Caenorhabditis elegans: one gene and its partner. The protein of the gene in region 1 interacts with the protein of each later gene in a pairwise test. Each region holds a gene or a part of one and is shown in the gene's direction. Other genes may lie near its edges. The genes, in order: num-1 and tat-1.

The links.
Region 2: the proteins of num-1 (region 1) and tat-1 interact in a two-hybrid assay, tested with the Caenorhabditis elegans proteins (one study listed by BioGRID).

Annotation. Positions count from the first base shown.
Region 1 is NC_003283.11:20,827,954-20,835,822, forward strand, and holds the start of num-1 (PID domain-containing protein), read left to right. Parts: upstream 1-1,857; coding exon 1,858-2,026; intron 2,027-2,420; coding exon 2,421-2,518; intron 2,519-4,425; coding exon 4,426-4,580; intron 4,581-5,133; exon of another isoform or gene 5,134-5,139; coding exon 5,140-5,236; intron 5,237-5,444; coding exon 5,445-5,819; intron 5,820-6,071; coding exon 6,072-6,443; intron 6,444-6,930; coding exon 6,931-7,041; exon of another isoform or gene 7,042-7,661; coding exon of another isoform or gene 7,662-7,869. Other genes in the region: sbt-1 (Neuroendocrine protein 7B2), read right to left, coding at 1-115, 162-493, 824-895. UniProt on the Caenorhabditis elegans protein: Involved in the tethering and targeting of pkc-3 to modulate the intracellular distribution of the kinase.
Region 2 is NC_003281.10:12,418,514-12,423,546, reverse strand, and holds the start of tat-1 (Phospholipid-transporting ATPase tat-1), read left to right. Parts: upstream 1-1,976; 5' UTR 1,977-2,073; intron 2,074-2,824; 5' UTR 2,825-2,882; coding exon 2,883-2,925; intron 2,926-3,265; coding exon 3,266-3,323; intron 3,324-3,373; coding exon 3,374-3,473; intron 3,474-4,515; coding exon 4,516-4,701; intron 4,702-5,033. UniProt on the Caenorhabditis elegans protein: Transports phosphatidylserine from the outer to the inner leaflet of the plasma membrane, thereby maintaining the enrichment of this phospholipid in the inner leaflet.

The DNA of each region.
Region 1 (7,869 bases):
ATCGGAGCTTCGCTTGTCATGGAACTTCTTTGCGATTGTGTTAGCGTGCATGTTGTTTTCTTCAAGGATTTTTTGGAGGGACTCACTGACGTCTTGAGCTTCTTTCTCGGCACAGCTATAACATTTACATGTTTAATTTAAATGTTCCACATCAAACTTACTTGAACATATGCTCCTGGTCGCAGATGCAGTGTTGATCTGCTTGGTAGTTTCTAGAAAACTCTGCACTGTTTTCAAACTCCTCCAAGCATCCGTGTTCCTTTGTGAACCCAACTGGGCATGGATTTGGTGGCTCGCAGTATGCGGGAAGAACGTTGTCTACTTTCACTTCTTGCCTCTCTTGGAAATTGTCCTCCTCAAGAAGTTTCTGTTCTCCCTCGCCAGCTCCACCAGAGATATGCTTGACTCCAAAAGAGGAGAGATCCGGAAGATTTTCAGAGTCACGTGAGATGAGATCAATGAAATCTCCGGATGGAAGAACAAAGTCTCCAGCCTGAAATTTTGAATTTTGAATAAGCTGACTAAATGTATACCTTTTCTTCAATTTTCCTTGAGTATCCTTAATCCGAAAAAAAATGGACTAGGAACACTAGATAATAATCTTAGTGTGAGTCATCACTAAAAATTTTGATTATGGCGGAAATAAATTTGCAATCCTTGAAACTCAACTTTCACAGTTTGAGGCTTTGGAGTTCATATATGAAAATTAATACAGATACCTTAATCGTTAAAAAAGTAATATTTGAAAATTTCAAAATCTATTTCACTTGCTCAGGAATTAGAAAAACACTAAGCCTACAAAACAAAATATGAGTTTACTTACGTTTTCCAAATCTAATCCATAGATAGCTGCAACTCCGACAGTAAAGAAAACCAAAGAAACGGCACCGATCATTCGGGCAACCGTGTTTGGTGCTGAAATGTGAATGCGTCGCTTTGGCTCTCCTGGCAGACGAAAAGAGAGCCGACTGCCAGAGTAGCAGACAGACGGTTATAGACCGAAAGGATTTTGAGGCTCGCAGAACAGCAGAGTAAAGACGCTGAAGAGAGAGGAGCTCATGTGCTCTTCTCCTCGCTCATGGCTGACGGCTTCGAGGAAAATCGATGAGCTGAAGGCGTTGTGTGAGTGTTTTGTGAGTTTTCATGTGAGTGTGTTCTCGCACGTCATTTTTTTGGACAAGATGGAGGAAGATGAAGAAGAAAAAACTGAAAGGAGGTCTAAAGCTCTTCTATTCGTTTCTATGATTAATACTTGGAAGTATAAAAAACAGGATATATTATGGGGTTTCAAAGATTTTGAGGACAACGATTATTGTACAAACAATTAATTTATTTTAAAATGAAACATTGTTTTTCATCGGATAAACATTGTAAAATGTCACAGCCTGTTTTTAACCATGTTCCATGTTCCATGTTGTTGTTGTGAAATAACTTGTAGTAATTCGCAAGTAAATTCACCCATGTTGGTTACGCAAATGTTGACTTTTTGAACATGTAATAAGTTCATCTGTTCAAACTATTAACTTTTTGAACTTTCCTTTGTAATCTCAGTTATCTTATCATTAAGTTTACAAGGTCTTCCGTTAATTCTTTACAAAGAAAAAAAATTAACCACCTTGATTGTAAGATTGAAAATTAAAAAAAAACGCAAGTGAAAATATCAATTTTCATCAAATTTAAGAAAATAATTAAAGTAAAGTTTTTTGTAACATCACAATTGTATTGACTACTCACATTGATCTTTGTGGAAGTGTTATGGATACGTACTACCGTGGGAACAAGCTGGGTTCTACTAATCTCAAAACTTATTTTATGTTTACATTTTGACTCGAGAGTCCTTCTTGACTATACTTTATTATGAATTGGATAGTTCATCAGCAAGGTTCATCGAACACTATGTTTTACAAGTGTCGTCCGCCAATAGAGTTTAGATTTCACAAACAAACTATTCTTGGTTTAAAGTATGATGGTCTGGATCGCAGTTCAAGAAGTGCCACCTCTACAATATGGGTTTACGATAAATGCGGTGAGTTTTGGAAAAATAGTATTTTCCTGGTATCTTTAATAGTTTACACGCTAAGCAATGTGCTAATTTCAAACCTGCTATCTCAAATACTCGTGAGCAAAGTTAAAGTTCCATCCGTACATGTTGCTAATTCAAAATGATCATTGACGTCTGCAACGACTTATTTCCCTACAAAATTTCCGTATTTCTCCCTCTATCACACGTAAGAAAAAGGGGTTGTCTATAGTATGACCTCCTTTATCAACGGCGATAACAGTCGGAAATCGGGTGAAAAGGAGGCGGAACATTCAGTTTCTGCACAAATCAGCTATTTTTGTCGCGATACTCTGAATATTTTTTGGCACTGATTGTAAAAAATTAATTTCGCACATTCGTTAACAAGTTTTTTTTTCAGAATTCGACAATATGATTGTTCCGTTTATGAGGCATAGACCAAGAAATTGGGATCAAGAGTCTAGATATACTGCACCGAGATTGATGTTGTGTGATACAGTAAGTGGTCATACTAAAGTTCGGATTCGAGATATAGGGTTTTAAGAAATATAACAAAAGTTTCTGAAAATATAGAATTTTATCAATGGTGAGAAGCATGATGTTGCACACGATTAGTTGAACAGTGACTTGACATTTTGATGCCTGCGTGACAGGTATGCCAGGTATGAGATGTTAGGTTTTAATTTTTAATCATACACAAAATGTTGAAAAATTCATTTTTCACTGCACGAAATAAAATTTGCTTTCCAACCATTTCGTTTTAGTAGACTAATTTTCATATTATAATGTATGCTTTAAACAAAAAGTATACTGTAAACAAAAATTTGTTAGAATTGTTTTTTTAATTCAAAACATTTTTTTGACAAATTTTTCGAAAACTTTTTCATGTCGGAATTCGGCGGAACAACTTTTCTAAGAATAGGATTTTAACAGAATACGTTGAAAAACAAACGCTAAAAACTCCTAGAACATTTATGAAAAATTATAGGAATCTCTTTTTTTATATTTCAGTAAAAAATTTTAAAAAATCAGGTAAAAACTTTTTTAGAGGAGGACTAACGATTTTGAAAGTAGACCCAAAATGAGCTCAAATGAGCAAATGTTTTACAGTGCATTTTTTTCCAACTTCTACGACTTTAAAGGCGCGCGCATTTTCGCGCAATGTTCTCGCCACGCGCATTCCATTGAATTGTTGAGCGCGTGGCGAGACCAATGACGGGGCCATTTTGTATAAATGCGCGCGCCTTTAAAGTCGTAGAAGTTGGAAAAAAAAACACTGTAATGAAACTTCTCAAAAGTGTTTCAAAAATGATTCAAAATTTCGAAAAAAATACACTGCTTTTAAATAGCTAAAATCTCGAATTGAGAATTATCATCCTTTATTGAATATTTTTGTAGTTTACTCATTTCATTTCGTCGATTAAAGAATATTTAAAGCCGATAGGCAACCTATTTCGATGATTTTTGATTACCTATTGGCTTCATATGCACCTTAATCGACGAAATTAAGTGAGATAAACGAAAATATTTAATAAAGGACGATAATTCAAAAGTCATCATCGGGCCGCTGCGACTCAGAAAAATGGCCAAAGTTCGAGAATTTAACTAAAAACAGTGTTATTTTTTTGAAATTTCGAACCGCCGTAAAAAATTTTTGAAACATTTTTCAGAAGCTTTATTATGAAATAATGAATTGTTCATTTGAGCTCATTTTGGGTCTATACGTTCAAAATCGTCCGAATCGTTAGTCCTCCTTTAAAAGCATCGTAGTTTTTTAAATTCCCTATTGTAGCCCAAGTACAGTATTTCTTAAAGACGCGCATCCTTCTGGCATTTAACTAAAATTTATCGTTTCGAGACCGGGTACCGTGTTTTCGAAGCGCAAATTAAGACAATTTAGCATCTGAAAAATGATTCTTCACGAAAAATAGAAGTGTTCTAAAAGTCCTCGATTTTTATGCAATTCTGTCAAATATCATCGAGAATCACGCCGGCAAAAAGAGGTCATTTGTCTCCGTTTCTATGTGTATTGGAGACTGTGTACAGGACAGTGAGAAGGCACGGAACTTTCCCTCTACATCTCTGCACTCTCTTGTCTTTTGTACAGTCTCTCGTCGTTTGTCGTGTTTCTTTTGTGCAATAAGGCTCGGTGCAATGTGATGGAATTGATAAGAGCGACGGGTGGTTTCAGTTTTTGTCCTATTTTGACTGAAATTTCTGTTTTACAGTCATTGGCTATGAATCATGCATTTTTTGCCAACATAAATTTGAATTGCATCGTAGCGGGTCCCAAACGCGAAATTCTCATACTATCATTTAAAAGTGCTCTTCATTTTCCATTTATTTTGCCATTTTTTGACCGATTTCTCCCGATATTTTTGACTAATTTTTGATTTTTGTTTCAGATGAGCGCTTCACAGGGAAACGTATTCACGAGAGGACTGTCGAGAATATCGAGAAGGAAGAAAAAGACAAAGAGTATTCAGAATTCTTTAGTCTCTGAACAGCAACCAAGTTTTGACGCCGCAATTGTTCCAATGCCAATTCCGAACGATAAAAGGTACTAATTTTTAAAGGAAAAATGTTACAAACAGTTGCCAAGTCTTTTTTATTTATTTAAAATCTTCAAATTATCTGTTGAGCTCTCCGAAAACTGCAAGTGCGCTCTATTAAACTAGCCAGGCCACACAAATTGAGCTGCTTTCAGGGAAACGAAACGGAAAATATCAGCTAAAAAACTGAATTTTCTCATAGTTTTTCTTATTGAAATATTATAATAAAATATTTATTAATATATATAACAAAAGAAGCAAAACATTATTTACAAAAATTCAATGTGACACCCCAATAAAAATAAAAAAATTCCACAGATTCCGTTACCCCGTTCTCTCATCTCTCCCCACTCGTGAGGCTCAATTCTTTCACCAATTTCCTCGCTAATTTGCCCAATTTTTCATCAATTTTGTTATTGATTTTCGATGGTAATCTGCTTTTTCTAGCAAAATTTTCGAAAACAATGCGAAAAATTGATTTTAATGCATTCTAGAACTTAAAATTTGCCGATTTGGTTATTCTTCATGTCGATTTCTATATTTTTAAGTACATTATGTGAATTTTAGCTCAATATTCTCAAAAGGGATGGACCGGCTACGGAGATCGCTCAGACTGCCAAAAAAGCGAAGAGATAGGAGTCATGACAGGCATTTGAGTCCAGATGTACGTGAAAACCTGTGAAAAATCGATTTTTCCGAAGTTTACTTGGAAATCAGTTTTTATCTTTTATCGGATTTCATCACCATTTTTCCAACCAAGTAACAGTCTGAAATTCATATAATTTCGACCAAATTTCCGCAAAAAAATCGAGAATTTTTTAAATGTTCTCCAAAAACCTCAAGTTTTCCCCAAAAAATGCTCAATTTTCCAGGTAACGGGCGGTTCGAAGACTGAACAGTGGCAGCCAGACGAAGGTGCCGTACGAACGGGTACGTGCTGTTTCAATGTAAAATATCTAGGATCAGTGGAAGTGTACGAGTCTCGTGGAATGCAAGTTTGTGAAGGCGCACTGAAATCGCTGAAAGCTTCACGGAGAAAGCCTGTAAAGGCAGTTCTGTACGTGTCAGGAGACGGATTACGTGTTGTCGATCAGGGAAACAGTCGAGGACTGTTGGTAGATCAGACTATTGAGAAAGTTTCATTTTGTGCACCCGACAGACAAACTGACAAAGGATTCGCGTACATCTGCAGAGATGGAGCATCCAGGCGGTGGATGTGCCATGGATTTTTAGCCACCAAGGAAACGGTAATTTTATTCAGAAAAAACTATTTATATGTTTTATTGGCAGAAAATTCGGGAATTTAGGTAAAAAATTGACAAATCCCACTACTCTTATTGCTAAGAAATCTTTTAAAAAATAGCAAGAAAAATGCAGAAAATTATGCAAAATTTCCAGGTTTTCCGACAAATTTGGGAAAATGGAGGCAATGAAAGCAGTGAATTTATCAATTTTCGACCTAAATTGCCGAATTTTCTATAAAAATGCAATATTTTCAGGGCGAACGTCTCTCGCATGCTGTCGGTTGTGCATTTTCAATATGTTTGGAAAAAAAGAAAAGACGAGACGAAGAAACAGCTCAAGTAAATGTGCAATCAGCGCAAGAATCAACTTCATCCACTCCACCAAAGGATATATTCCACCCAAATTGGGAGGATAATACATCAGAAGGAACTTCAACTCAAAACCCTTCGAATTCCCGTTCAAACCTGGCTTATCAGTCGTTCCGGAAGCACGTTTCAATTGAAGATCGATATTTGGATCCACAATCAGTAATTATTAACGAGGTACCGGCATCAAATCATATGGATGAGATTAGAAGGATATCGAAGCCGAGACCAACTGGAAATCCGGCTCTGTTTTTGAGACAGGTTCGTTTTTTGTGGTGTCAGGTTGTCCCATGTGAGATTCGAGCTGCGAAGACTAGATTTTCAGCCAAAAATAGCTATTTTTAGATCAAAATCCAGCGAGTTTTCTTTTTTTTATTGGATTCTAAGCTAAAAATTGACAATTTCACCTAAAAACAGCTATTTTTGACTGAAAATCTAGTCTTCCCAGCTTGAGTTTCTCATCGTACAACCTGACACCTTGCTTCATTAAAATGGTTTTCAACCTAAAATTATGTGTTTTTTTACGCAAAATCATGACGAAATCCCCAAAACTTGGCTGAAATACGAGTTTTCAATTGAAATTCAAATCTTTTCATCTCGAAATTGACGAAAATCATTTAAAAAAAAAAGAAAATTCGCTGGTTTTTGATCAAAAAATTGAAAATTTCACCTAAAAATTGCTATTTTTGGCTGATCTCCAAATTTCACATGTGACAACTTGACACCACTTGAAAATTCAAAGTTTCAGGGATCCCTTCGAGCACCACCCGATATGCCATCGTCTTCTGATCAATTCAAGCGAAATATGTCGTTAAGGACCGTGTCGAATAATCCAACGGAGAGATCTCCTGAGAAAAAGGTTTGATTTTGCATGTTATTTGCGCGTTCTTATTTTTTTATTTTAATTCCAAACTTTCCGCAATGTTTTATGGGAAAAAATCAAGATTTCCTAGGAAAAAATCACAAATATGGGAAAATTGTTTAAAAACTCGGTAAATGGGTCTTGCCAAGTTTTACGATTTTTGAGTAAAAAATAAGTTTTCTTCCAAAAATGCTCAAATTTTTTGATAAATTTATGTTTTTTGAGGAAAAATCGCGAAATCGACGGAAATTCAGTTGGAAACATCTATTTTCTGCGATTTTCCGCACTAAACAAATACATTTTATTGAGAAAAACGTTGGAAAAACTGTTTTTTAATGTTTTCAAAAAATAAATCTGAAAATTTGCGATTTTTCGCTGATTTTTTTTGATAAAGTTTGTTAAGTTCTAAACTGAAAAAAACAAAAACTGTATTTTTTTTTCAAAGATTTCCATATTTCTGACACTCAAAACGGCGATCCTTTTCAACGTCATTTGGAAATTTGCATAATCCATCAAGTGATATGACTAGTAAACCCCCATCTTTTACCATTTCCCTATAACAAAAAAGTTCCTTATCAACATTTCTCCTATTTTCACACTCGAACAGACCTCATCAAATGGTTCTCATAGACACTGAATACGTGCGCGCGGTGGTCCATAACGTTGGTCATCGTGCGCGGTGTGGTGTCGCGTCAAAAGTTCGAGCACTGAAGTTAGCCCATTCTCAAGCTAGATTGAGGTCATATTCACAAGCGTGTGAACGAGCAAGCTATATTGATGGTAGATGTGAATACTATCCTAGTTTGGATGTTGCTTCGAGTTCTC
Region 2 (5,033 bases), on another chromosome or scaffold:
AGGTTTTGTATTCCCGTAATCCATCATATTGCATTGACCACTTTCACCGCTGCTTGCCCACTGAATACATAATTTTTTTACTTGGAAATTGTTTTAGCATCTGCAAAAAGTATTTATTCATCAGTTTTAATAAGAAAAAACGGGAAAAAGCTGTGAAAAACAAAAGAAAACAGGCGGAAAACAAAGCAAGATAAATGGCCGCTGAAACTTGTCGGCCCCTCGGCCATGGCCTAGAAACCACTTTTCCTCGTCCCTCGTGAGGAAAAAGTTGCAGTGGTGGTGTCAGACTGTCCCATAACGGCATGATCTAAAATAAATGCGGAAATTGAGATACAGAGTTTTCGAAAAATTCCCGCATTTTTTGTAGATCATACCGTTATGGGACTGCCCCTGACACCACGTGAATTTGGGTTTATTTCCACTATTATGTAGGCCTTTCCCCCAGGGCTATTGCCTAGAGCTTGATTTGTCTGAAAAGTTTAAAGAATTCGGAAAGTTCTGCGAATACACCCAAAATATGCTGAAATGAACGATATTCGTAATGAAACTGCTCAAAAAATGGTTCAAATTTTTATTCCGCTTCAAAATTTCGAAAAAAATTACACTGATTTTAGCATATATATCTCGAATTTTGGCCACTTTTCCGCCAGACATCTGTCCGCAGTTGACTTTTTTGAAATTATCATCCTTTATTGCATATTTTGGTAGTTTATCTCATTTAATTTCGTTGATTAAGGTATTTAAAGACGGTAGGTAACCAATTGATTTTTAGTTACCTGAATGTACCTAAATCGACGAAATTAAATGAGATAAACTACCAAAATTTGCAATAAAGGATGATAATTCCAGATAAAGTCAACCTTCGGCCAGATTCGACACGGAAAAATGGGAAAAATTAGAGATTTTAGCTAAAATCAGCGTAATTTTTTCGAAATTTTTAACCTTCATAAAAAATTTTTGAAGAGTTTTTTGAGAAATTTCATTACGAATTTTTTTAACTTCAGCACACTTTGGGTTTATACGTAAAAGCGGGTCTGAAGCTGTATTCATACGATGATTTATTATGGAAACGTAGAAAAAAGTCCCGTTTTTTCTGCGACTTCATAATAAGCCATTGTATGAATAAGCCTTTAAATATCGAATTGTTCTAAAAAAAAAAGACAGAAAATTTGGCAAATGATCAAAGTTCGTCGAAAATGTTTTCATTTCCAGTGTGTCTTTTCTCTTCTTCTCTTCTTATCAGGGATACATCAATATTTAATTAGTAAATATTTATGACGTATTCATACAAGAGAAAAAAAATTTAAATTTTTTTAAATTTTCAGTTAAATTTGCCGGAAAACCGATTTATCCAAAAATTTGTCGGGACCTAATTAGTTTGCAAAATTGTGAAAAATTCAAATATATTTAGAAACACATTTTTAGAAATTTTTCAGTTATCTTCGGTCGTTACATTTAAAGTTGAAAAAGCCCGAATTTCAGCTCGTTTTCCACAGTTACACCTATTCAGAACCTTAAAATAGCCTAAGAATTATTAGCTTAAGCTAGGTCTAAGCCAAGCCCAAGCCTGGGCACATAAGCCCAACCAAAATAAAAATCGATATTTTCAAACAAAAAAAATTCTAAACAAAAAAGAGGCTCCATGCTTTCTCCCTGCACTCTCTTCTGTTCACACACTATTTCCATGCTTCCGTGACGTGCCGAGGTTCTTCTTCTTCCATGTTTATTTTATTCTTGTTCAAAAAATTGAACAATATGGAAAAATAAATTAAAATACAACATATATGAATCACTTTTTCAAGGCCATGTACTCTTTTTTAACGGAAAACCAGTGTTTTTCTCTGCGTCTCACACCTTCTTGCTCTCTCGCCTCCCCAAGGAAGTTGACACGAACATTATTTGCTTTTTGGGGGTGAACTTATTTCCGTGTTTGCTACGTTTTTTTTCACCTTTTTTTTTTGTTTATTTAAATAAATATTATATTAATTAATTAATTTCCAACAAAAAAATTGGATTTTCCTGCAGGCTCCTCGTCATTCTATGACCGAAAATCGATAATTTGTTTGATTTTTCGTGGGTTTTTATATTTTTTTAATATTTATTTAGTTTCAAAGTTTATTTGTAAATCACACAAATCACACCATTTTTCGTTGAATTTTAGAAAAAAAAACCATAAAAATTAGAGATTTAAAGGATTTTTTTTCCAATTTTGCGAAAAAACAACTTTTTTCTTGAGTTTCCGCGAAGAAAAAAGAACATTCGCTGAAACTTCGAAAATCGATGGAAAATGCCTCAGAAATTGAAAGTTTGTGTTTCAAATCGTAAAATTCAGGAAAAATCAAATTTTCAGACATTTTTTCGCCGAAAAAAAATCATAAATAAGCCCAATTTTGGAGTTTCATCGATTTTCTCGCGGTTTATTCGGTTTTTTTCAACGGAAAAAGTAGAAAAACCCCAGAAAAATCAATAAATTCAGCCAGAAAAGACGAAAATATCGAAACATTCATTTTCGCGGGAATTCAAAAATTATTTAAACTATTTATTACAAATTTTATTAATTTATTAAAAGTTATTAATTTATTTAATTTATTTATTTTAATAACTTTTAATAAATTAATATAGTTTTTAATAAATAGTTTTAATAATTTTTGAATTCCCACGAAATTAACTGAAATTTTCGATATTTTCGCCTTTTCTGGCTGAATTTATTGATTTTCCTGGATTTTTTCTACTTTTTCCCTAAAAAAACTGAATTACCCACGAAAAATTGCTTAAAAATTCAAATAAAATGCTCTTTTTCAAAAAAAAAACTAATTTTTTCCAGATAATTCAACAAAAAATCGATAGCAAAGAAGTCGAGGTCAAACACTTTTTGGAGCATAATGCCCACAGAGGCAAGAGATAATAATCGACATATCCATCTTGGTAAGGCCCAAAAATAGGCTTAAAAAGGCCCGAAAATAGGCTTAAAAAGGGCCAAAAATAGGCTTAAAAAAGCCCAAGAATATCTGAAGTTCTGATAAATCATTAAAAAATGCGCAAAAAAAACGAAAAGCTCATCTTTGAGAACTCCCCGACCAATCAGCGTCCTCGAACTCCGCCCACTTCATCTGATTGGTTGAAAAGTGGGCGGAGCGAGTCGCTGATTGGTCGCAGTTCTCACGCCGGTTTAAAAGCTGGATTTTCGCTTTTTTTTGTGAAATTTCAGCATTTTTTTGACGAAATAACCGAAAATTTGGTTTTTTTTTAAATAATTTTTTTTCAGGCAAAGTCAGAGATCCCCACCACCAGCATGCTCAACGATTTTGCAGTAATAGAATAAGGTTTTTTACTGGAATTTCAGTCATTTTCTGTAAAAAATTGATTTTTTCAGCACTTGCAAGTACAATGGATTCTCATTTCTTCCCAGATTTTTGTATGAACAGTTCCGGCGTTACAATAATATATTTTTCCTAGCAATCGCCCTTCTTCAGGTTAATTTTTGGTTTTAAATGGAGATTTTGCTCGCTTTTACGAGAGAAAACCGAAAAAAATCGAGATTTTTGCTAATTTCTCTGCAAATTGAGGACTGCGACCAATCAGCAACTGGCTCCGCCCACTTTTGGACCAATCAGGAGTCGAATGACGCTGATTGGTTGAAATGTGGGCAGAGCAAGTCGCTGATTGGTCGCAGCACTCATTTTGGAGGGAATTCAGCCAAATTTTGCGATTTTTTTTCGTTTTTTTGTAGTGCGAAATTTTTTTCTTTTTTTTTAAGGTGGAGTATCGCCAGTTGGGAAATTGCTTTAAATCATGCCTATGGTACCACAATGACCGAATATCATGATAAAAAAATTCAAAAAAATTTTCTAGATATTATATGATTTTTTGAAAATTGAAAAAATCTCAGTTTTCACCTAATTCATATTTGAATTACCGCCAATTGGATTTGTTCGATGGAGCGCACTTGCACGTTTTTAAATTTATTTATTTCATTTTTTGTTATTTTCCATCGATTTTTAATGTTTTCGTTGCATTTTTGCTTGAATTTTAGAGAAAAAGTCAAAATAAATGCAAATTTTCGATTAAAAAGCAGGCTGGCAGGCGTAAAAATGACAAAGTAACGATTTTAAACGATTTCGAACCTGAATTCATTAATTTCACTGATTTACGCCTGTCAGCGTACTTTTTAATCGAAAATTTGCATTTATTTTGACTTTTTCTCTAAATTTCAAGCAAAAATACACCGAAAACATTAAAAATCGATGGAAAATAACAAAAAATAAAATAAATGAATTTAATAACGGGCAAGCGCGCTCCACCGAACAAATCCAATTGGCGGTAATTCAAATAGGAATTAGGCAAAAACTGAGATTTTTTCAATTTTCAAAAAAATCATATAAAATTTAGAAATTTTTTTTAAATTTTTTAATCATGATATTCGGTCATTGTGGTACCATAGGCGTGTTTTAAAGCAATTTCCCCACACAGAGTGTAGTCCGCCTTTAATTTATTTAAATTTTTCCTTTTTTTCAGCAAATTCCCGACGTTAGCCCGACTGGAAGATACACGACAGCCGTCCCATTTCTGATAATTTTATCAGTTTCTGCACTAAAAGAAATATTCGAAGATGTGAAAAGACGGCGAAGTGATAATAAAGTTAACGCATTTTCTGTCGAAATTCTTGTCGATGGACATTGGATTGAGAAACAGTGGAAAGATGTGAGATTGAGAAGAAGAAGAAAAATACATTGAAAATAAATTGGAAATTGAAAATTGGCAAAAAAATTTCAAAAAAAAATTCATTACAAAAAATCAAAAAGATTTTGAGCTTGAAGATAACTCGGAATTTTTAAAAATTATCAAAAATCACCGGTTTGCCAAAATTTCCGGAAATTTTCAATTCCGGCAAATTACCGATTTGCCGGAAATTTTGAATTTCGGCAAATTGCCGATTTGCCGAAAATTTTCAATTCCTGCAAATTACCGATTTGCCAGAAATTTTCAATTCCGGCAAATAACCGATTTTCCTGTAATTTTCGATTTCGGCAATT